Linked DNA regions of Struthio camelus. The protein of the gene in region 3 interacts with the protein of the main gene of each other region in a pairwise test. Links are inferred from orthologs where the notes say so. Each region holds a gene or a part of one and is shown on either strand. Other genes may lie near its edges.

Region 1 (8,279 bases), on a different chromosome or scaffold from region 3:
TACTGGAACTCTAAAAAAGCATCCTGAGTAGCTCACCATTTACAATTATGCAATTTGTCTATCCAATTTATAATTTGCAATTATAAGCATAAAATATGCAAATGTGTCCATTTCCATTTGAGAAATACAATTAACAGATTAAAAGTCTAGATGTAGGACCACTTCTCCCTAGAAAACAAATTTCAGCATGGGTAGAGATTTGCTAATGATTTTTTTTTGTCTAAGCAGTACATGCACTCCGCTCTCTTCAGAGTCTCAGAAGAATTTCCCAATTCAACTATATTTCTTATAAAGCAATACTAGTTTTCTGAAGAAAGTTGGCTTACCTACAGTATTTCAGTTAAAGTAAATGTAAACAATAAGTGTAATACTATTAAGACAGCCAGAAGTCAAAAAACTATTACATAATTAAGCTGGTTATTTTAAGCACTTAAAACCTGTTGTAAAGACATTCGCACAAATACCTGGGTGAAGACAAAATTGAAAAAAACACCCATTCCATTCTAAACTGAAAAATTAACGCAACTTTAACTTAAAAATATTATACCAGTCATTTCATATGAACTACTCTAGAAAGGGGAGAGAACACTTGGGGGGGGGGGGGGATCCGACTTAAAAAGTACAAGTCAGTAGTTACAGTTGCATTCCTAATAATAGTTACTTACAATTACAGCAAAATAATGAACCAGACACTTCTAAAGTTAGTGTCATGATGGAATGAGATGGGTTTGTAAAACACGGGGTTTTTTTAAGTGTTACATTTCCTACTTTATTATACAGATGTCTCACCTCATTTGGCTCCCTGGTGACTGCACAACTGTCTAACACAGTTATACACAAGGACTACACAAATCTGCATTGTATACTACAGGTAACAGACTACTGAGCTTTACTTTTAGTTACTTGTCCCTAATAGCTGTAATACTCAAATCAGATCTTAACATAAGACTGCACTTTCAAAGCAAGCAAAAAATCCAGACACTAGAACAACAAGGTTGCATCCATGTATTTGTCTATATTTTTTTCACTGAATGCACCACTTATTTTTGGAGCTGAAAGTATACATTAAGACACCAAGTATTACATGATTTTAGAAAAAGCCAGAAGTTTTATATTTCTGCCCTCTAATATCACTTGTTTCAATGTACTCCAAAAAGCTATCAGAGTCCCAAGAAACATTAGATGTACAATCATGCATACTCTTTCATAAAGACTAACTGTAAAATAAGAATTCACATGCTTTTGTAACTTCCTTAAAATAATTTACACACACAGAAATCTAAAATAATCCTTCCTTCACTATTTGCGGAGGAACTTCACTAATTTATAACCATAAAAATCTCAGCCATCAAGCTAAAAATGTTAAACAAGTTTATTTACAGCACACAACACAAAACTACTTGCTAATACTTCCCCTCCAACACTATCAATAGTGCCACTCTGTCAAAAATGCCAGTATGAACAATGGGTTTTCTTTTTTTTTTTAAAACCAATCCATTGCTTAAGACTGGTAAGTTAGGGAAAAATATGCAGAATACCAAGTCCAAGGACATGCAGCTACAGACCACCAGGCACATGCATTTCACAGCTAAAACTGACAGCTACCTGCAAACACAGAATATTTCAGAAAACAGTCGACTCTCCCTCAGATTGAGATTGACATTTTGTAGTCCATTACACAAAAAGCTATGTCAATCAAGGCAAAGAAATCGCACAACTGGAACAGCTCTAAGCTATTATGAAGTAAAGTTCACTAGCGCAGCTTTGCAATCACTCCAAGTAATAGAAGCCAGAGTCATCGGGGCTGTCATTTTAAGTTACAGGATCAGTTCATAACTTGTTTTATTTGACTGTTCCAAAGTGTCTCAAGTGTTTGATTTCATAGAAGACTTGCATTCCAAAGTCACCTGTCTTCCATACAATGCACCAAATTTACATTAAGCCACATCACGTGAATCACAGGAAACGAGTTTTATATCCAGTAAAGTGTCATTTAAACAAAGAGCTAGTACTTCAGTGAAACGATACATCAAACGTTTCAAAGTGAAATATCTTGGGGGGGATGCAGAGAAATCATTTCTGAATATATGAAGTTTTATAATCGCAAAGCAAACATGTGTTAGGTATTGAAAAGATTCAGCAAGATGTGGTTTTGATTCCTTAATATATTAGGGTCACAAGTTTCTAGGAAAAGGCTTAGTCTGCAAACTCCTTTCAAAAAAAAAAATATTGAGGCATATAGAAACAATAATCTATTGCTTACAAACAATATCGATCTACCCAGAAACATTTTAGGGAGGGGAAAAGTCTTATGAATAGGAGAAAATGGAGCAGGGTGGGAGAATGAATAGCCTAGTGCAGAGGACTAAAGCAATTCTCCACATGCAACCACCCAATTTGGGACAGTTTCAGTGAAAACCACGCGTTTGCTAGCGTAAAAGCAACCTTTCAAGCAGCACGGGAAGGCTGGAGATGCGGGAGGCTTCAGTGCTACATTTCCCACCGCTTGCAGGCGGGCGGGCAGGGGCGAGGTGCTCCTTCTGCCGGAGCAGCAGCCCGCGAAGCCTCCTCCCTCCATAAAGGCAACGCTCCGGGTCACGCGAGATGCGCTGCCCCTCGCGCGGCGCCAGCGCCCCGCAAAAAAAAAAAAAAAAGAAAGAAAAAAGTGAAAAAGAAGAAAAAACAAAGCGGGGGGGGGGAGGAGGGGGGAAGAGAGCCAGGTGGTACAAAGCGAACCGCCGCCACTAAGCCCCGCACTCCGCCGCTCCAAAACCCCTGCCCGAGGGCGAGCGGCTCCGCGGAGGCTCCGCGCGTGGGGGGGGGGGGGAGCGGGGCGCAGCCCGCGCGCGGCCCCCTGAGGGGCGGCGGGGGGGAGGGGAGGCGAAGGGCGGGCGCCCCCCCCTCCCCCGCGCTCACCTTGGCTGACGAGGCGCAGCGCGTGGGTGAAGGACGGGTCGAGGGAGTCCTTCTCCGCCATCAGCTCGGGCAGGTACTTCTCGTCCATGGCGGCGAACCCAACGGGGCAGCCGGCAGCGACGCGGGGCCGGGTCCCAAGCGGCGATAAATCCTTCGAGGCAACGCTCCCCCCCGGCCGCCTCCCGCCCGCCGCGGCGGGGACGCAGCCAGAGGGAAGCGCCGCCAGCCCCCGGCCCAGAGCGGGCAGGCGATGGGGGCGCAGGCCGGGGGACGCCCCCCACCTCCAACCCTCCTCCCCCTTCGCTCCGGCCGCGGGTAAATCCCTCCGCGGAGGCACAACGGGGCCCCGAAAGCCGCTCAGCCCCTCCTCCCCCTCACACGCGCGCTCAGAAGAAAAAGGGGAAGAACGAGGGGGGGGAAAAAAAAAAAAAAAAAAAGCAGCCAGCCGACAAACCGCTCACACCGCGGCGCCGCGCCGACTGAACGGGCGAACCCCTCGGCGCCAGGTTTATATACCCCAGGACAAGCCCCGCCCCCTTGCCGCCCTTCAGCCCCGCCCTCCTGCCTGTTAAGCCCCGCCCCCTCCCCTGCCCCACTGCCCCCGCCCTCCAGCCCCTCCCAATGGGTGGTGCTGGCCCAGCCTCCTTCGCTAATGGCCCCGCCTACTCAGCCGGCGCCTCCTATTGGGTGATTTGGGTTGTCAGTCAGCGGCCCACCGCAGATTGGGATTGGTGGGTGCGCTTCGCTCTCCCCCCCCCCCCGCGGGTGTTGGGGGAAGGGGGGGCGGTCGCGCCGCGCGGGCTGCGAGCGGCGTCGCCTCACGAGCAGCGGCCGGGGCGGCGGTGCCCTGAGGGGACGCAGCGAGGACGGGCCGACCGCAGGGCAGGGCTCTCTCATTAAAGCTGCGCGCTTTCATGACCCTCTCAGCCGCTCATCTCCTTCCCCCCTCTTCCCCCGAGAGAAGGGCCGGCGCTGTGCCCCTCCCGCAGCGTCCGTTAAAACCGCGCGCCGCCGATGAATAAAACATGCAACCTGATAACGGCGAACTCGTTTCGGCGTCTGTGGGCGCTCGTCCGCCGCCGTCTGCGGGTGAGCAACGAGGCGAAGGGACAAAGCGGCGGGGACCTTGTGCCTTCTCCCCCCCCCCCCCCCTCCGGGCCGCCCCCCGAGCTGGGGCAGCAAGGCCGCGGCCGGGCTGTGCCCCCGTACCACCTACCGGGGGGGGGGGGGGGAGGCCCCGGGGGGAAGATTTGTTCCCAAAGGAGAAACAACAGCCTGTTTTAACTCTCCCCCCCCCCCCCCCCGAAATCACTATTGAGCCAGTATTTTGTCCTTTCCTCTCTGGTAGTATAAAGCACTTCATAAGTATGAGCCAAATAATCTTATTTCTGCTCAGTTATGACCACCGCGAAGCGGGTTTGCGAAGTGGCAACCTGATGGAGCTGGAGGAGCTGCCGTTTCCCGCGAGCCCTGCTGGGTGTGAAACCCGCTCCCCCGCCCGCGCCCTCTCCGCTGCCGCCACGCTGGCTGCAAACAGCCCGTTTTACAGGTAGGAGAAGCAAAGCTCGGGATTGTGCTCAAGCGTTTTTTTTTTCCTAGATATTTTTCAGAGGATACACTTAGTATATTAGATCATTACTCACGTTCAGCTTTAGCTTCGAGGCTTTGCACAGCTTCCTTATTTGACCTCAGGAGTTTCATCAATGAACCCTTGGTGACAAAAGCCCGAGGGAGAGACAGAAAATTAGTAAAGCGCTAAAGCCAAAATCGTAAGGCTAGAGTAACGTTTTTAATCAACGTTTATTGGAGAAATCAATAGGGAACTCTCCAGTGATGAGGTACAGTTAAAAGACCACTAAAAAGATTCTTAACTTGTGGTAATAAAATAATGTCATATTTATTATTATACTTAATGCCAAAAAAGTTTTCAATATATCTCAGTTACATCCATGCAAGATGGGGAGGAGAAAAGCTCTGAAAAAAGACTGGCATGAGAAATCACTCACTCAGAACTTAACAAGCAAAGTTAAGGCTCCCTTCCCAGAACTGCATGCGGTCTTTTACCCATAAAACAGAAAGATAAAAAATATAAAACAATATCTGTTATGTTGCAATATGAAATAATTGATTTACATTCCATATACAACCCCTCCAAATATATCTGTCCCAGCACTAATAACCACAAACAAATTTACATTTTTTTAAGTTCTCCTGCGTGACATCAAACTTGAGGATATGAATAAAACAAGCTACTGGGAAAAGTTGGATTACAATGCAGGTTTTATTTCATCCTTCCTTATACAGCTTATACACAACTACTGAAATGCAGCCATCTGTTGTGAAAAAGTCAGACACATACAACTTTACCACAGAACAATGTGTAGGAGGCTAATCTTTATTGAGTGACCTGGAGGAAAATAATCCCTACCTTCACCAGTAAAGCTAAAAAGGTATTTAAAGTCCCTCTACAGCATACAGGAACTCAATCAGAAAGGTAGCTATATTATATGGTATAAAACATAATGCACCTTTCTTGCAAAAAGATTTATTCTCCCTGGTAACTGATTGAATAAACATTTGCTGTTTCAAGAAACCACAGTATTTCTTCCCAAAGTATACCAGTTCCCTCTGATTTATATAGAAAGTATAGATATAGAAAGGCTTACTGGAAGTCTGGAAGACTCATTTCTCACCAGATATATAATAATGTAGCAATTACAAAGTTATGGACGTTATATCCTATTGCTCAAACCCATGCCTGCACTTAACTAGTAGAGTATTTTCTCCATTGAAATTCACTGGGATATAATAAAACAAGAAATGAACAGAAAAAATGGGAAATTGTGAGCAACAGGCTGTAGAAAGCTGCCTATGGTGTGGTGATCTGGGAAAAGTCCACTAAGCATCGTCGTTGCTGTCCAGGAAAAGCAGGAAGCACCAACTCTTTAAGGATTGGTTGCTTTCTTGTTAGCGAAATCTATACAAAACTTGAAAAAGTTGCTTGATCAAGGAACTGCCCAGTAAATAGTAGCTTTACTAGTAACACAATTTTAAGAGCCATGAGTCCAAACTTTCAAAACTCATGACTTACTCCCTAGCAATAAACTAGTTTGTTGTTTTTTACGCACACGTGCACTCTGTTGCTAATACACACATGCTATTTTCAGGAATTTATTTCAGTAGGTAGATATCAGTTAGGAACCACTGTGAGTTGTAATGTCCATTACTTCTCTTAAAGCACCAGGACCAAAATTAACATTTGGAATTATTTAATTATTTAATATTTAGAAACATTTAATATTTAATAGAAGTTTTAAGACCTTTTCATACCTTCACTCTCTGGGGTGAGATTTAACCTCCTTACTTCCTGGACCGGTTGACACAAGTAAGGGGACAGCTGAAGACTGCTTGAAGAGGCTGTAACTGAGCTGCACCTTCCCTCTGGTAGGTAGGAGGTTCTCCATAACTTTTGGCAATTCTATTTTCCTTATTTGCTGGGGCAGCATTATAAGCAGTATTTAGTCATAAAGTCTTTGTTCCTAATACTGTAACTACACCTAAGTATTGTTTTTCCAAACTTACTCTCAGCTCACGCTTTTATTTGCTGTGGCCTGTGTTCATTGATCATACCGAGCTGCCACTGACCATTTAGACTCTGCAGGGGTTTATTGTGTTTTTTTACCTCCGATTTACTTGGTCTCAATTTAAAGACTATAAGAGAAACAGAACAGTTATTTATCTGAGACTTTGGCTCATTAAAATGCATACAGCTGAAGACCTATAGAAGCCGAGTCTATTTTGGGAAAGAGTTTGTCACAAATACCACATCTAGTGAATGTGTCCTTGATGTGACTCACCATAGTTCTGATTAGCATGTTGCTAAGTAGATGCTGGCTTCCTTAGTATTCCAATATATCACTTGCCAATTTCTATTAGGCATATTGAAATTATCATTGCTCTTCTTTCGCTGTTATTCCTGACCTTTTTCTTTTTTTCTTTTTTTTTTTATTTGCACGTGTGTTAAAGTATGAAGAAATAGTCAAGAGTTTTCCGTTATGTCCAGGCATCCTTTTTCAGAAGCTCCTGATGCTTTCTTCCAAATAGCATGGCTTTTTCTTTTACAAGCATTTGCCCCATAGTTCAAAGTTAAGGCTATTTTCATCCCCAAATGAATATTGTTCCAGTAGCAGCCATGCTGATGCCATTTCTTTTAAAAGATTTCTTACATTGCTTTCATATTTCATTCACCCTTTCTTTAAATTTATTTTTTTTTATTTCTTTAAATGTATTTCTAAGAGAAATATTTATTTCTGAGAGAACAAGGTTTGCAGGAAGAAAATATCATGTATTAGGCTAATACAGGTAGAAAAAAGAACATTCTTTCAGACACTTAAACTCATTGCCACCTTATTTATAGCCACTGTAACATGCCATAGTGTCACATGCACCTGTTCATCCAAGTCTTCCACTTCTTTTGCACCTTTTTCCATGGTATTGTGCAGAAGATATGCCAAGCAAGTTGTTGATTGGTTGCTTGTTTTTTTTTGTTTTTTTTTTTTTGTGAGGATCATATGCTTCTTTTAAGTTGTGCTTTTGTATATCACATTATAAAGTCAGTGCTGAAGAAGGCAAAGGTTTATCAAGATTGTTCCACAACGTTTTCTCGTGAGTTTCAACTGTTCCTGTGCGGCTCTATCAGTAACGAAAAAAACAAAATTCATAGTATCCACAGCTCCTTTCTAATAAGCATAACTTCATATTATTCAAGAGCTACTCTAGCTTCTGCCTATTAAGTATCAACCTATAGTGTGTTGCTGTGGCAGATCTAAACTACTACAGTAGAATAAGTAAATGACAGTTTTTCATGTTGTGAAAAACATCATCCGTGATATCATCCAAACTGTGATGCCAGTATCATGTTCTTTCTTCCCTTCCCAATTACTCTAGATTTCTGCCAGTCTTAGTCATCATCTTCATTATGATTTTCAGCTCTTATAGGAAGAAATTTTTTTAATTGCTTTAACCACTAACTCTGGAGAGAGTTTGCTACTTCTCTCTTCTTAGATGCAACCAACATGAATCACTTACAAACAGTTTTCTATTAACTGTGACTGAGTTTTAGATTGCATCTTTCTTGTATCTTTTGCCTGTTGTCATTAGGATTTTGCCACAGCCCTTTTTGTAGTTTCAGTATACTAGAATAACATTAACAACAACTAATTCCTAGGAGTTCTTCTGGTATTTCCAAACTGACATCCATAAATCCATGGGCCCCGATGGGATGCACCCACGAGTGCTGAGGGAGCTGGCGGATGTTATCGCTAGGCCACTCTCCATCATCTTGGAAAGGTCCTGGAGATCAG
Region 2 (7,986 bases), on a different chromosome or scaffold from region 3:
TGGCATTTTGAGCTTTTGTTTTTTGTAAAAGAAAACAAACAGGTTTATTTTGCTCATCCTGTTAATCTTTCAAACAGGTTCTGCCACTCAAAGAGGGCTTGCTTGCAGCGCCACGCATACCGCGGGCCCCACGACCTGTGCAAGATCCCGGCCCGGCCTGCCCCGGCACACCCCGTCCCTTGTCCCCAGGCCCGTGTCCCCGGCCCCGTGTCTGCCCTGCCGCGAGCTGCCCCTGCCTGCCTCTTGCCAGGAGCACGGCGGGCAGTTTGCATCTCCGAAACCTGCAGGGACCAAGCGGCCTCGGGCTAGCAGACCGCTGATGGGAGCGACCCAGCAGCTCTCTGGACTTGGGTGCCCAACCGGGGCGTGCAGGGAGTCAGGGCTTGGCTTTATGGGACTTCTCAGGTGGCGCCTGCTCCTCCTCGAGGCCCTGGGACCAGGCTCGGGGGGGCTTCGCTGCCACGTCCCCCCCAGCAGCAGCGAGCTGCCGCGTGGTGCTGCAGGTGCCACCGCAAACCGTGCCCCAGGTGCCCTGACGCCTTCGGGCTGCTTTGCACTAAGCAGCAGGAGGGGGACCTGCTCGCGCGTTCCCAGTCTCTTTTGGGGACAAAGTGCTGGGGCAGGGACGGATGGGAAGAAACATGGGATGAGCTGGTCGGAGATGCAAACCTGCCTTTGGGCTGGCGGTACGTATCTGGCAGCTCCTCTGCAGAAGGCTGCGCCTGTCCCGATCCCCTGCGCCCCGGCCCGCGCCGTGCGGGGAAGGGTCCTGGCGCGGGTTTGCCAGGGTGAACGCCCCGCCGGCGGGAGCGCTGAAACGCTGGGTGGCATGGGGGCTCGTGGGGCAGGGCGCTCCGGGTCCCCCTCTCGTCCCCGTCCCCGAGCAGGGGACGGCACCGCGGCGTGGGGCAGGGCTCCCTCGTGCCAGTGACTCCTCCGTCGCCCTGGACGGGATCCTGGGCTGCCCAGGGCTTTGGGGCAGGGCGAGGGAAGGCCGGGGCCGCGGTCCGGGGCAGGGCTGCGGCTGGGACGTGCCGGGGCGGGAGGGAGCCCCTCGCGCGGGGCCGAGCGGGGCGAGCCGGGCGCTACACGCAGGTGCAGTCCTGGGCCAGGATGTTGGGCACGGTCTCGTACTTGAAGGAGTAGCCGCCGTCGGAGGTGGTGCGGACACGCAGCGAGCGCATGGTGCCCGGCAGGGCGGCGCAGCAGAGCTGGACCCCCAGCCGGTGGCTCAAGCCGTGGCCTTCGGAGCAGCTGCCGTGGCAATAGTGGAAAACGAAGCTGCTGGGGTGCACGATCCAGTTGTCCCAGCCCAGCTCCTCGAAGGAGATGTTGAGGGAGGCCCGGCGGCAATTGGTGTGGGCGGCCACGTCCTCCGACGGGCGCTGCAGCAGGCCGAGGGCGGCCGGGGACCAGGGCACGGTGGAGCGGCGAGCCCGCTCGCTGCCCTTGGCCCGGGTGGTGGCCACCAGGAAGGGCATCTTCTCCCCGTCGGCCAGGCAGGGGCAGCCGGGGCAGCGCACCAGCAGCACGAAGAGCGGCTGCGAGATGTGGGGCAGCAAGGCGGGGGCGAAATGAAACACCGTCCAGTGGTCGGGCGCCTGCACCGCCGTGGCCACCACGGGCACGCGGCCCTGCGGCGACAGGGTCAGCACGTCCGGGGCCGAGTGGTTACGGGCGGCCGCGGGGCCGGTGTAAAACCAGAGCTGGGCCGATGTCACGGCGCGGCTGAGGGTGTGGGGTGACGGCTGGAAGAGGTAGGTGAAAATCCCTTCTTCCTCCAGCAGCTTGTCCGGCTGCGTGGGCTCGCAGGGCACGTCTGCAAGGGGAAAAAAGCACCGGGGTGCTGCAGCAGGTGCCCGCGCCGGGGCACGCCGCCAAACGCCCTGCGCCCTGACCGCGTGCACAAGCCGCCGGGACGGGGGAAGGAGGCACCCCAGGGTGTCCCAAAGCAGGGCGAGAGGCTGGGGTGGTGCAGAGGGGGTCCCCGAGGGTGCCCGCCGCGCAGGCCTGGCGGCGGCCGGGCGCGGGGCAGCTGACATCTAGCGCTGCGCAGCAGCTACTGCACGGCACGGCGCCGGCCGAGCAGGTGCCTGCGCCGCGGCTCCGGGAAGGGCTGCTGCCCGGCGCTTCCCCGGCCTCGCGGACAGCCGGCAGGCTCAGGCCCACGGGGCGAAGCGCCCGCCGCCGGGGGGCTTGGAGCCTGTGTTGCGTGGGCAGGGTCGGGGCTGGGGCAGCACGTCCTGCCCCTCGCGGGCGTTCGGGCTGGGGAGCCCCGTGTCCCCGGCGGCTGCGGCAGAGCGTGGGCTCTGGCCGCCTTTCGGGGCAGCTCAGTCTGACCCTGCGGGCTGCGGAGGGGGACTGAAGGCTGGCAGAGGCTTGCTGGAGGCTCCCATGGGGTGTGGGGCGGAGAGGGGGTCCCAGTGTGCCCAGCGTGGGTTGCTGTCCCAGTGGGGAGGCCGTTCTGCCCCCCGCTCCCGGCCAAGCGGCAAGATCTGCCCGGGGGACAGCCAGGGCTGTGCAGCAAGCAGCTCCCTGGGGCCGGGGCAGGCTGAGCCCTGGCGGGAGGCCAGCTGTGCCCCTCTGCACCCTAGGCTGATCCGTTAGTGCTGCTCAGTCCCCTAGCATCCTGCCCCCATCCCTTTCCATCCTGCCCCTGTCCCTTAGTGTCCTGCCCTGTCCCCTAGCATCCTGCCCTGTCCTCTCCTCATCCCTCTCCGTCTCTCTGCATCCCAGCTGGCTCAGGCAGTCCCCAGCCTGTCTAGCTGTCAGCACCCTGGCCTGCCTCTTGTGCCCCTCACCTGCCCTCTGCCCCTCTCCCTGCCGGGTCCTGGGCTGACCTGCCTACCCCTGCCTGCCTTCCCCTTCCGCCTCATGGCTCTCCGTCACATTTCAGCCACCCCTACGTCCCAGCCTGGCTTACCTGCTTCCTCTGTCCCACACCAGCATCATAGTCCTGCTGCATGCTTGATGCCCTGACCCACCAGCCCAGCTTAGCTCTTCTGCCCTCTCCATCCTCACAGGGGCTTTCTCACCTGTGGATGGGAAGAGGATCACCTGGGAGGTGTCCTCCAGCTCCTCGTGTGGGACTTCTGGGGTCTCCAGGACGTCTCTCCGATGCATCTTCCTCCCCTCCTGCCGGGGCCCCTCCTGGGGTGCAGGGGGGCTCAGATGCTCCAGCACCCGTGCCCGGACCTTGGCCAGGATGAGCTGCCGGTCGGCGCCAGCGCCGGTGCAGGCGGCCAGGGCGGCGGGGGGCAGCATGGCTGGCAGCAGGTGCAAGAGGAGCAGCATGGCCGCGGGGCGTGCGGTGGGCCGGCTGCTCGGGGGGCTCTGCCGTGGGTGCCTGCCTGCAAGCCCAGCCCGTCTGCCCACTGCGCGCCGCCTGGGGCACGGTGGCATTGAGACGTATCTGACACTGACGCAAACGTCTGCTCGCCGTGAATATTATCTCTGGGCAGCGAAAGCGCTGAGACGTCTGGAATGCAAGGACTGCAAGGACAGTGTGGTCTGGGGGGGGGGGAAGGCGCCCAGGGAGGGGGGCGCGGGGGTGATGCTGCCGGGGCAGTGGGTGCACGGGGCTGGGGGAGGCCAGGCTGCAGGCAGCGTGCTGCCGTGAAGGCTTTGCTGTGCCAGTGTGGATGGAGGGGCACCCTGGGGCGAGCGTGGCAGCTGCCGGTGTGGGGTGTCCCCATGCTGGAGCAGGGTGAGGGAGCTGCGGGCTCAGGGCTTCTGGGGGCACAGGGGGAGGTGATGGTGGCTGTGCTGGGTGATGAAACCTGGGCAGACACCTAATGTGGTCCAGAACCTTGTGAGGCCCAGATGTGGGGAGGGACTTTAGGGGTGGCAGGCTGGGCATGCTTGTGCTGGAGATGTCTTGGTCACCTCGAGGTCGTTGGGGAGCAGGGACATGAGGAGGGAGCCCGAGGAAGGACAGATTGGGGAAGGGGGAACTGCGGCATCTCCAGGGCAGCCTGTGGTGGGCAGGAGGCGGCTGACAAGGTCCCGTGATACGAAGCAGGAGGGATGGGAAAAGGACCCCGTGCAGCCTGGGACAGGCAGTGGCCAGGGAAAGGCTGGGCCAGCCTGCGATGGAGTTGGAGGAGGAAGAAGTGAGGCAGAGCTGAGCCAGCTGGAGACCCTACAGTAGCACCAGGTGAAAGAGGCCACAGTGCCCTTTGGGTTGCCTGGCTGCAGACTTGCTCCTGGGAGCTGGAGCTGCCTGATGGCAGCTGGCTGTGAGGGGACCCCCTCCCCCCCCCAGTGCATCCTGCCCTTCTTCCTGCGGCTGCCTGCAGGGACAGTGACAGGAGTCTGGTGTCCAGGAGTCTTGTCTCCAGGAATCCTGCGTGTCTGCATGGTGGGATGCAGCTTTTGTGCCAGCCCACTCCTGCAGCAGCCCAGTGTCCCATGCAGTGCATCCTGTGTGGCACATCCCATCCCGCTGCAGCCTGGCATCCCATGCAGTGTGTCTCATATGGTGTGTCCCATCTCGCTGCAGCCTGGCATCCCATGCAGTGCATCCCCTGTGGCATATCCCCTCCCATGTGGTGTGTCCCATGCAGCATGTCCCGGGTGGCATGTCCCATCTTTGTTCAGCCTGGGTCCCACACAATGTGTTTTCTCCTGCGGCAGGCTGACCCCACACCGTGGCACCATTGAGCCTGCCGAACGCTGGAGCCCTGGAGGTCAAGGACTGTCTCCCCACTCCAGGCAGGGCCGCTCTCCTGCTGGGGCGCTATACATAGGCCAGCCCTTCCCAGCCAAGGCACTGAATGGAGCAGGCTCAGTCTTATCAGCCCAATGTGTCATCAGAGGGTATTTTTGGGGACAGCAGCTGCAGGCATTTGTAACGTTTGGTCCCTGCATGCTGACGTCCAGGAGCAGAGCTGGGGGAGGCAGCAGGAGCTGGGTGCCGGTGCTGGGAGACACAGGGAAGAGGCGAAGGAGTGAGGTACGTGTGTGGGGCAGGGGACTGTGGTGTGGGGGCTGCGTGGGGCAGGGGGATCGGGGGGACACGGGGGCAGCTGGAGGGGAGTAGCAGAGTGGCCAAGCCGTCGGGGCTGTGCCTGTCTGTGGGAGCTGCTGTTGGGGCAGCCCGTGGGACTAGAGGAGCATCTGGCCGGGAATGCCTCACTGAATGAATGCATTGCCTGCAGGTAGAGGTTTGGGAGGAGAATCTGGCCCTGGTCCCTCCTTCTTGGGGACCCCGGCCCCGTCCCACCCTCCCCTGCCCTTTCGCTCAGGCAGTATCTTGGCTTCTCTCTCCCCATGTCCTGCCCTGCCTGAGCAGTGCAGAGACACCTCTGCCCCCAGCCCCGGTGACGGTGTGGGCAGAGGCCAGGCAGAGAGACCACGCTGCCGCTCTCCAGCCTGTGATGATGGATATTGTCACCTGCGGGGCTGGGGGTCGAGTCGGTGTCTTGGCTGCCTGGCAGCAGGATCGGTCCCTACAGCGTTCCCTCTGCACCCCTGGGGCTTGAGCGCCTGGTTATTTCATTTAGAGTTACGGCTTTTGATACCTAATGGCTGGGGTGGGGGATCCTGCCTTTGCAGCCACGCTCTGGAGCAGGGACCTCCTCTCCGTGGGGAGCCCCTCTTTGCCCCAGGCAGGGAGCTCTGCTGGGAGCCCTGCTTCCCTGTCCTGCTGAGCCGGGGAGAAAGCACCCGGATCCGGCCGGATTCCCCCCCGCCCCCCGCCATGACAGCCCCTTATCAGCACCTGCGCCTGAGCCAGCCCAGATGCTGCAGGAATGTGGCTCTGCCACCACCCGATACCGCAGGAATGCCCCCGCGGGTGGGGACGGCCGGGGCTGGGGCCCTTCCTGCCTCGGCCCCAGCCCCTGCCCCATCTCCCGTCCCCGGCACCCCGCGTGGAGCTGCCTTCGCTCCCGTGCCCCATCCAGCCAGGGGCCCTGTGCTCCTGGAGCTGGGGGTCCTGTCTGTACGCATATACAGCCGGGGCTGTAGGCACCTTGGGGCACGAAGCACTGTCTTCTGCCACCTTTCCCACGGCTGTTGGGCAGAAAAATGGCTGGTTTGGGCTGAGGCTGGAGCATATTCAGGGAAGCGCCAAGTCAGGCAAACAGCATGTTCGTGGGGCGCTGGCATCCTGGCTCAGGCCCCCGCCGCCCCCGGGAGGGCTTGGGGCAGCCCGTGTCCCTGCAGCCCAGTGGGGCAGGGGGCTCGGAGCGAGGGGAGGAGATGCAGTGCTCCTGCTGTGCTCGCGGGGCGCAGGGGGTGCCTCCCGGAGGTGCCCCGCACCAGGGCCGTAGCTGGAGCCTCACCCCAGCCCCGGTCTGTCCGTGCATCGCTCCAGGTTGATGATCCCCGTTGCTGTCCCGCTGAGCTGCCCGCTGTGAGGCCGGGGAGGCCGGGATGGACGGGTTTGCAGGAGCACCCAGGTTCCTGGCCTACCCGCGCACTTTCACGGTGCAAAACGGCGCTGACGCCGTCCTGAAGTGCCAGATCGCGGGCGACCCCCGCCCCAGCATCCTCTGGGAGAAGGACAGGACCCCGATCGAACCGTCAGGCCGCTTCCATGTGGAGGCCAAGGGCAATGTCTACAGCCTGCTGGTCTCCCGAGTGACCCCGGAGGACAGCGGGCTCTACGTCTGCAAGGCCAAGAACAACGTTGGCGAGACCTATGCTGCTGCCACACTCAAAGTGGAGGCCGGGGAGCCCCAGGAGGAGGGAGACCATGAAAACAAGCCACCCGTCTTCCTGGTCCGGCCTTCGTCGATGCGGGTGTGCCGGGGGGAGGACGTGATGTTCACCTGCAGGGTGTCAGGGCAGCCCTGCCCGGTGCTGCACTGGGAGAAGGATGGGCACGAGCTCTCCGACCTCTTTGAGAGCAGTCATTTCTCGGTGGGGAAGGAGCCTGAAGACTGGCACTTCCTGAAGCTGTTCAGCGCTCGGCCCCCGGACGGGGGGGTCTACGTGTGCCGGGCGCGGAGCGGCTCCCGGGAAGCCCTGGCTGCGGCCGTGCTCCTGGTCGAGCCCCTGGCGCCGGGGCTGCCAGACGAGCGATCCCGCGGGTCCCCCGGGAACGGCCTGGAGCAGCCGGGAGAGCGGCAGCAGCACCGCCGCCGGCACGCCGCCGTCCAGAGCACCGTGCCCGAGGGCTGGGCGCTGCCCAACGGTGAGGTGCCTGCCGGCGTGCCGGGCGCCAAGGCGTTCGCCGTGAGCGCGGGGAAGCACGCCAAGTTTCGCTGCTACGTGACCGGCAAGCCCAAGCCGGAGATCGTCTGGAAGAAGGACGGGAAGCCCGTCACCCCGGGGCGCAGGCACCTCGTCTACGAGGACAGGGAGGGCTACTTCATCCTCAAGGTGCTGTACTGCAAGCCCCAGGACCAGGGGCTGTACATCTGCACCGCCTCCAACACGGCCGGCCAGACCCTCAGCGCTGTGCAGCTCCAGGTGAAGGGTAGGTACCGGCCCACGGGCCGCCGGGGCTGCGGGGGGCTGCGGGTGTGCTTTTGGGGCTGTTTGCCTAGCAGGGGCGCATCTGCGCGTGCACGTGCATGTCAGGGCACGCGGGCTGAGCAAGCGCTGCTGGGCTCCCCTCCCAGGGGCTCGGGCAGGCCTGGGGGCGCGCGGGGGCCGGGGCGCCTCTGGGGTCTGTCGAGACGGGGCCAGCGGCAGGCGTGGGCTGCTGGGCTGCCCCAGGGGCTGGTAGCTCCCGTGTTTGTCCCCCCGCCATGCCCCTCTCCTTGTAAGCAGAGGGGTGATGTTTCTAGGGGGCTGCGCGTGTCAGGCCGCGAGCAGGGAGGGGGCGCGACATGCTGGTGACAAATTCCCCTGCAAGCGCAGAGCAGCTTTGGCTGGGAGCCTTGCAGGGCACGGCACCAAGCGTCTGCGCTGGCGACAGCCCCGTCCCTCTGGCAAAGCCTGCACGGAGCCCCGCTGCCAGCTGGGGATGCCAGGACGGCCCCTCGCCGAGGGCGATGCAGCACCTGGCGCTGCCCCGCTGCCAGCCCGCCGGCG
Region 3 (8,268 bases):
CTGGATTCCAACAGGCACACCCCAGGGAGGCACTTCAAGACATGATAAAATACTATAACCCTGTCTGCCTGTACGGCACGACAAATGGCATTAAGAACACATATCACCATGTTGTTTTTTTTAAATAATATGCAGTTGAAGGCTGTATCATAATCTATGCAAGTAGAGGGCAACCAATAGCCTCAATCTTGCTATTTCCTAGTATTTTTAGTGTTTAACCCTGCTTCCTTAAAAATTCATGGAGAGAATGCTAATGGAAGAAAATCCTAGTTTGTTCAAAAAATAGAAGCTCTAGAACATGGGGATTTCTTACAAGAAACTATTCCTGCTGCTAGCCATCCTACATGTTTAGAAATTTTGGACTACAGTTAGAGGAAGCTACTGCCACAGCAATACAATCAATCTTCTCTGTATGTATCCTAAACTGTACTGTTTGCGGACCAGTTGCAAATATATAGACTCCAGTAGAATTTCAACAGAGATTAATCTGTCCCTTTAGTCATCATATTATAGACAATGATTTTCATAATCAATAAATTTCATCAGTGAGCTTCCAATAAATGGCCCTTAGAAGTGTTTTTCTTTCTCTCTTGAAAGCTTTATTCCACTATTCAGATTTCAACAACTTCTCCTTAGCTAGCAAGTCCATTAAAGAAACTAATTTAAGCCATGGCCACTTCTAACTTTTTCTTCCATTTTCACTGATGTTTACCATAACCTCCCTGCTTTTCTCCCATTTTTATTGCCATCTTCCTAACTGCTGTATAACAAATAGACATTGAAAAAGCAAAAGGGTATCTGGGGTTGCTACCAAGGAGAAAGTACCCCCTGGGAATGAAAAGCAACCCATGGCTGCTGCATCTGCTGATTCTAATGGAAACTAATTTAATCTAGTTAGAGGATAGACACGGGGGTTATTAGTGCCAGAGGCCTTCTAAAATATATACATGTTTACCATAAATCCTCATAAACTATTTTAGATTTCACTTTCATCTTTGCAGCTTTCTAGTTTTGTGACTTTGTTGTAACATGGCACTTAATGAAACCACTACAAAATCCTTTTACTATGTAAAACTTTTATCAGCAGGATTTTATACAGTACAGCCTGGGTACCGTCACAGTCAAGAACTGGGTAGCAGGGGAGGGCATCTGCTTACATCAGTAGTGCTGAGTGAATGCATCCTCTCAGCAACTTATATAAGCTTGCATGTAACAACATTGAAAATACTATCCCAAAGCCTGCTCACCCCAAAGAGAAAGACAGTGAAACGACTCATTCATATCCTAGAAAGGAAAAAATCTCTACCAAATTCATCAATACAAGTTAAACTGGGAGGTTATAAATTACAATCTCTTGTGCTTGATGGAAGGAAAAAAAAAAACAAGTAAAAAGTGAATATTGCCCCTAAAATTCTTAGTCCAGCTGAGGAACTTTTCTAAGCCACTACCGGTTCATTATTTTGTCACCTTAATTTTTGAACCGCGCTTATGAAGACACTGAAATTTAACTATTCTGAGCTGTCTTAAGCACGTTAAAAACACTGTACAAACTAACTGCAGCCAACAACCTTAAGAACTGTTGATTTCTTTGCCTTTTGGATCACCTGGTATATACGTTTTCGGTGTACTAGCAGAGATTAACTTAGACAAGCACTGTAACTATGCGCTATTACCCATACAGACAAGATCCCCTAAAAGTTACAAGGCTAATGTGAAAACGTCATTTACAGTTTTAGAGATGTGACGGATATTATTTCCTACATCAAAAGGACTATATTCTCTACAACACAACTTATCAGTAACGTATGCATTATAGTGTGTTTGCAATCTGCCAAAGTTCGTTCAGGCAGGCATAATTTGTGAGTATCCTTTCTAATACGTCTCCTTTTGAACTTCTCTAACACATATGGTACCAATCTTCTGTATTCTCAAATACCCTGAATTCAGTGAAGTTACAAGAAAAGCAGAACAGGACCTGGACTCCTGGGTTTCTGTTCCTAAGAGGAGATTCTGCATGTCCTGGGGGAAGATGGAATAGTTGCTGCACTTCCCCAATTGCAATTTTCCCTTGTCTTCACATGTGCACAAAAATAAGATTGGTATGTTTGTTTCCCTTCCCTCCCTGTACCTGCAAGAGGACTAGGAAAAATTCAGCTCTTCATGATTGCAGCTCATGGAGTAATCCTACTGAACCAAGACATTTGAATGGTGATGGACGATTTCTCATCCTTTTGATGCCACATTTGAGACAACGTACAGGGAAAAGCTGTGACGTTAGCCACGAGCAAGTCCTGTGGCTAACATACATACACACAGTCCAGATGCAAGTGGCTCCGTTTCTTTGGTGCAAGACTGAATTTAATTCTTTCCCCTATACAATTCCCAACTGACCATCTCTCCAGATTACATGACACAAGTATATAAGGTGAAAATGTCTTATGTCAATTGGACTTTCAGAGATATTGATCATCTTTACATACTTCTATTTGATCATTTGTCCCTTCATATAGGTAAAGTTGTCATAGTATAAAGTCCAATTTTACACCAGGCTAAGTTACACAGGTAAGTTCTTCTTCTATTAACCACAGTCATGCCTAGAAATTGTAATCACGTGCCAGGACTGCAGTACGCTAGCTGCTAAACAAACATAAACCTAAAAGGATAGTCCCTGCCCCACAGAGCTTATTACATAAGGTGGGAGAGAGCAAGGAGGATATAGACAAAAGAAAGCAGCAAGACAATAAAAATTAGCAGTATAGAAAGTAGTTATAGTACACTGACATCCTGATATTTATCCTCTATTTTGTAGGCATAGGAAAAACAAACCACCAAACAAGCAAAAGGTTTACTGGGATTTGAATGAAAGAGACAGAGAGAACTTTGCAGATGTTCAAATGTGCAAAATCTCTTCTGAAGTATGAAAAGAAGTATAGGAAAATATGAATATTCTAACTGGGTAGTTAGCAAAAAGGCATGGAGCCTACTGTGTCAAGGTCATTGGAGGAAGGATTTAATGACTCAGTACCATTCAGAGGTGATGGACAGTAAGGAGAGGCTGTGAGTGGATTTAAGAAGGAAGATGGTTTGTTGGATACAGTAAGCAAATCAGAACCATTAGAGAGGGATCAAATTCTCAAACTTACTGCCTAGATAAAAAGAAATCTTCTCAGCAAGGTAGATATCAGGAGAAAAGAGTACCAGAATTTTTTCACTTACTGTGAAACATGGATATATAGTCTTAGAAATACAGCATTTTTCTGGCTGATATTACTGTATCCATTCAGCGATGAATTACAGTACTGAGAACCAACTCTCAAAATGTGGTTTTGGAAAGCATTTCACATTCACCAACTACATGTTTAAACGGAAGAATCCCCTGGCATCACCACTGGCTTGCATACAGATTCACTTATGCACACTCCATATTTCATGAGGTGCCCACATCAGCCATATAACATTACTCACCAGAGGAGTCTTGCTGATTTTTCTCCACTGTTTTTTAGCAAGACAAAGCTTCAGTTTCCTCTGGGGTATACCGTTTCCTCTTCGCATCCCAGGGCACAGAAGAGCAGCTGCTGCCTTTCCTTATATTCCTCTGCTGGCTATAGGGAGTGATTTTCATGCTTGGTGTGTAAGACTTTCATTAGAAGAAATCCATTTTAGGCAGAAGATCTGTTCCTGGCTTGGGAAAAAGTTAGGTTATTTCTTTTGTTACATCTCCGGCCTCACGAAGCAACTGTATTAGGTCTTTTCAGTTTGCTGAAAATCTACGCTGAGTTTCATCTTCTGCAGAGCTTCATATGTTTATGCTTCTGTAACGGAGTTACATATATTAACTTACATAGGACTGATTCCAGATTGTAAAACGCCTTGGAATTCCCACAACATTAGAACGGTGCGAATGGCAGGAAACAGTCTTACCCCATTGGTGTTATAGGAACACGGCCCTCTATGGTCTCTGCAGCAGACTCACACAGAGATTTGGAGGTCAAGCATGACTAACTGAGCTATAGCCAAATGGCTCTTCAGGCTAACTCACACCTTGCATTTAAGAGCTGTAGGTATTTCTGTCCATCTGAGAAGGCTGCAGGGGTGAAGGGGAAGCTATGTAGGATGCAGAGTATTCACAGAAAGTTAGATGGAGAGAACAGAAACTGCTGTCATAAGTCTTCTGTACATATGTGTCAATGTTCTGAGCTATAATTCATAGAAAACCTCCCATCAATTTCAATGGTTTGCAGAGAGAGTCTAAACTATTAAGCTATTTTACAGTTTTCATCAGTAGTTTTGTGCATCAATTCTGTTTGATCTCCATCAGTACAGATGTAATTTGTCAGGCATCAGATCTTCAGGAAGCTCCCCAGGTACTTGTTGATAGTCCTCATAAAAAGTTCGGGTTTATTATACTCCTCTACTAAAACATGTGCAGAAGAACTGCCTTAAATCATCTGCATTTTCAGAAGAAATTTCTAACAAAGCCTATGTTACAGTCTCCAAGCCTTTAGCGATTTCAGCCTAATGGACAGACTAATTGCTCAAGTCTTTGAATCTCTCAATTGGAAAGAGATTGCTACCTGTAATTTTATTTATTAACTGTGCACCTAACTTTAGTTCTCTGTAGGAATTAAGTAAAGGATAACAAAAGGAACATCATCTCATAAAAGCAATACATTTAAGCGGCTAGGAATTAACACCCACAGTTATGGCATAATCCATCGTACTTGCTTCTCTTATCTTCTACATATAACTGAGAAGCCTGCCTGGATAAAATGCAAACAAAGAGAACTTGTGAGAACAGCTAGGACCACTGATGCATATATCTGGATACGTGCAGCAGGAAATTAAAATCAACATTGGCATCCAGGTTCTCACTTTACCCTGCTGACCTTCATATGGGGATTTTGTCGGCAAGTTCCAATTTGGTGAATAGAATTTAAGAGTCTACACAATGAAAAGGGATCTTCTATGTTGGAATGAGACGTACAGGATAGATCATATATGCTTTCTATATTCCAAGACTTCTGTTCAAGAAGCTGCAAATCCATATTAGATTATTCACTTGAGAAACGAAGAATGGTGGTAGCATCTGTATATCTTGCACTTGCCTAGAGCATAATTTAAACAGGAAAGATGATATTCTTTTCAAAAACACAACTGAAGAACTTATAAATGATTAAATAACAAGGTTTTGGACTTCATATAACCTGAACATGGTCTCCTTTCCAGTCGCCACAATCTAATTTCATCCACGGTAAGATCTGAAATAATTTAATTACTGGAGATGTAAAATATACTACACAACTGTAAATTAATCTTGAGGGAGGGAGGGAATGTTTTCATGTGGCTCACACGGGAAGAATGGGGTTATGATAAATACAATCACTACCTACTCTATTGAACACTGCTTTCCAGTTTAACAGATCCAGAGTTTTCCGGCTACAGCACTTCCAGCCCCTACCAATGGAACAGCTCACAATACGAATCAGTTACTTCTTCGGTAACAACTCAGTGATGTTACAAAGAACATGCTCATCACATGAATAAATTCCTCTCATGCACGATAGCCATAATATAAATCTTCAAATGCAAGTCAATTTTTAATGCAGAGGAACAAAAAGATATACCTTCTAGGCTTTCAAGGGAACATGGATGCAGTATCCAACAGGACAAACCACTTTTTGAACATTATATTACTCACTACTGTCTTATTTTAACTCTCCGCATTGATTTGCTATAATCATCATCCTTCTCACTTTGTCACTAGTCTAGTTACACAATGAAAATACATTCTGTAATTAATATATTGCTCTATTGGGGAAATTTATGAAATTGCCAATATTAGTACTGTAATTTATAGTACAGGAAAATGTCTACAAGTGAACATTATCAGCCCACTCGTCATCAAAATCTCTGAATCACACCTCATAATTCTGATTTTCCCCTAAAATACACCTTGCATTGCTTCAATACTTTTTTTAGTATTTCAAGAAAAGGAGGTGTCAAGGGCTCAAAAATGTAAACCAATACAGATTTAAGTATGTCATGCAAAAGCACCTCATCTCAGCATCACGCAAAGCAGATATATTCAGCTATGGTAAGATACAGATTACTTTTTCCCCATTATTCCTAATAGAAAGCATGAGTGACTGTTTAAACAAAATACAACCATATCAAATGCATATTTTTTCATTTGTTATATGTCAAACTGAGGAATATTTAAACCACTTTTTTTTTTTTTTTTTTAAGAGAAAAGATATTTTCCTCTTAATGTGTAATTTAACCTTGACATAATCTGGGAAACTAACCAAAACAAAAGGACTAAATAGTTTTATTTATACAGTGATTCGCTGCCAACAAGGGTTGGATACAATAGCCAGAAGTCAAGTTCCAGTCTTCTGAGTGAAATCCACAATAGAAAGCAATATCATCATTTCACATTTTCTGGAAATAGTCTGACTTTTTTGCTACTCGTTTGTCAGCTCTCCATCAAGCTTCTACCACACCATAATGACCTGTTAGCTACCACAGATTATTCATTACTTAATAAGGTCTTACAGTGTAAGGTCCTGCATTATTTGGCTTTATATATTTGAAGCCTCATTAGCAAAGTTAACATCACTAGTGAAAGACTTAGTCCTGGAAAGACTTAGTCCATTGGAAAGAAAGACTGAGCTGTTATACCATGTAGTAATTTCACAAGTTGTATTAGATACACCATTTAAAGTACTTCCACACTAGTATAGCTATGTTTACATTACGTCTTTTGTCAGTATTAAAAGAAAGTATAATTAACATGCACCCACTCTATGAGCAGTAAAACCAATGAAGTTTGGCTTCCTGATTGGAATCTGAGCACCTGGGGCATCTGACCACTTACTCTCATGAATATAGTAAAGAAAAAAATGTCCATCAAAGCCTCCACCACTTTGGTAGAAACTGGACAGTGGTGTGAAAGTTCACAGAGCTACAACTTGAAAAGGAGCTGAAAGAGGACAGAATCTCTTAAACCTAATTTCACTAGAAAACAAAGCAAAGTAAATATGAAATCTCAATCTAGACTACTGTACCATCAAAATATTATGGTGTGAGTCAGGATTTAAAAAGGACAACCATATTTATAAATATACATGCTAGAAAACATTTAATAATAATAATTTAACAAGTATGAACACAGTATTATTAAAAAAAACAATGAGGAAATAGAATATGTTAACATTCTTTTCAGTATTCTGGAATATTTGAAGTATTTTATTAACACATAAAGTGCTCCTTAAGAAAATATATTTAATATATTCTGGTCATATCACCAACTGCAAACACCTGTGTAACACGTGATTCACACAAGATAAAAATAGTAGAGATCTATAAAAATGCTTGTTCTACCTTTAGCATACTATACTTCTACAGTCCTGCACAGAAAGTTTAAAGCCTAGAATTTACTTAGATTAATTTTTCAGAGATGCCACGAGATCCTAAAAGGACCTTCAGATGTTGTCAAAACTCCCTTAATTTATCTTGAAATGTATAAGCCAACTCACCTTCAATTGCTGCTAAATATTTTCCACCATTCTTCTCCTGCTGGCATTACACTCTCTTCCTAAAACCAGAGCTTAGCATGCTGCAGGCATTAAACTTATTTTGACCTATGCTTGGGGCCAGAAGAAGTGAATACATGTTCTATTTTAATTTCTTCAGAGTCAGCTTTCGAAAAAGGTCAGCATGCAGATACTGGGGTCAAAGCCCATTGACACAGATAATAACGTTACTTTGGTGGACAGGGATGGAAGTTCATACAGGAAGTTTCTATCCTAGTTTACTTATCAGTGGAAGGTCATACACAGCAGAAGTCCCTACGACTGCTTCAGTTGAACCTAACAAATGAGCCGATTAAAAGTTAGTGGAACGATATCTAATTTCTTCCTCTACACTACTTTCAAGAGCAGGATGAGCATCGTGTGGTAACACAGAGATGCCGATGCTACGGATGTTGAGATCACCTTTCTGCAAGCATGGCCCCCAGCCCACACTGCACCCTGCTTTGAGCTCAAGTCTATCCCAGGACAGGCCTAGGCCAAGTCACAGCAAAAATTATGGCAGTCCCACTTCCCGTCTCGTCTGAATGGATTACAATATATGCAATTCACTTTCAGAACCTTACAATTTCTACTTCAGTCACACTCTTCCTCCTTGGCATATGTTTCAAGGAATATCAGTAAAGTATGTTTAAAAGAAGAGTTATTTATATGGTGCCTAATAAGTGGTATATAA

Evidence for each region.
Region 1: the proteins of SIAH1 (region 3) and KHDRBS3 interact in a two-hybrid assay, tested with the Homo sapiens proteins (3 studies listed by BioGRID and IntAct). The link is inferred for Struthio camelus from reciprocal best matches to the Homo sapiens genes SIAH1 and KHDRBS3.
Region 2: the proteins of SIAH1 (region 3) and INHA interact in binary tests that used the Homo sapiens proteins (3 or more experiments, as listed by UniProt). The two-hybrid records come from large-scale screens. The link is inferred for Struthio camelus from reciprocal best matches to the Homo sapiens genes SIAH1 and INHA.

Annotation. Positions count from the first base shown.
Region 1 is NC_090943.1:165,592,810-165,601,088, reverse strand, and holds the start of KHDRBS3 (KH domain-containing, RNA-binding, signal transduction-associated protein 3), read right to left. Parts: upstream 3,403-8,279; 5' UTR 3,005-3,402; coding exon 2,917-3,004; intron 1-2,916. UniProt on the Homo sapiens protein: RNA-binding protein that plays a role in the regulation of alternative splicing and influences mRNA splice site selection and exon inclusion. Binds preferentially to the 5'-[AU]UAAA-3' motif in vitro.
Region 2 is NC_090947.1:27,735,223-27,743,208, forward strand, and holds INHA (inhibin alpha chain), read right to left. Parts: upstream 3,403-7,986; coding exon 3,036-3,402; intron 1,820-3,035; coding exon 1,086-1,819; 3' UTR 25-1,085; downstream 1-24. Other genes in the region: OBSL1 (obscurin-like protein 1), read left to right, coding at 6,379-7,426. UniProt on the Homo sapiens protein: Inhibins and activins inhibit and activate, respectively, the secretion of follitropin by the pituitary gland.
Region 3 is NC_090951.1:15,989,197-15,997,464, forward strand, and holds the start of SIAH1 (E3 ubiquitin-protein ligase SIAH1), read right to left. Parts: upstream 3,485-8,268; 5' UTR 3,466-3,484; intron 1-3,465. UniProt on the Homo sapiens protein: E3 ubiquitin-protein ligase that mediates ubiquitination and subsequent proteasomal degradation of target proteins.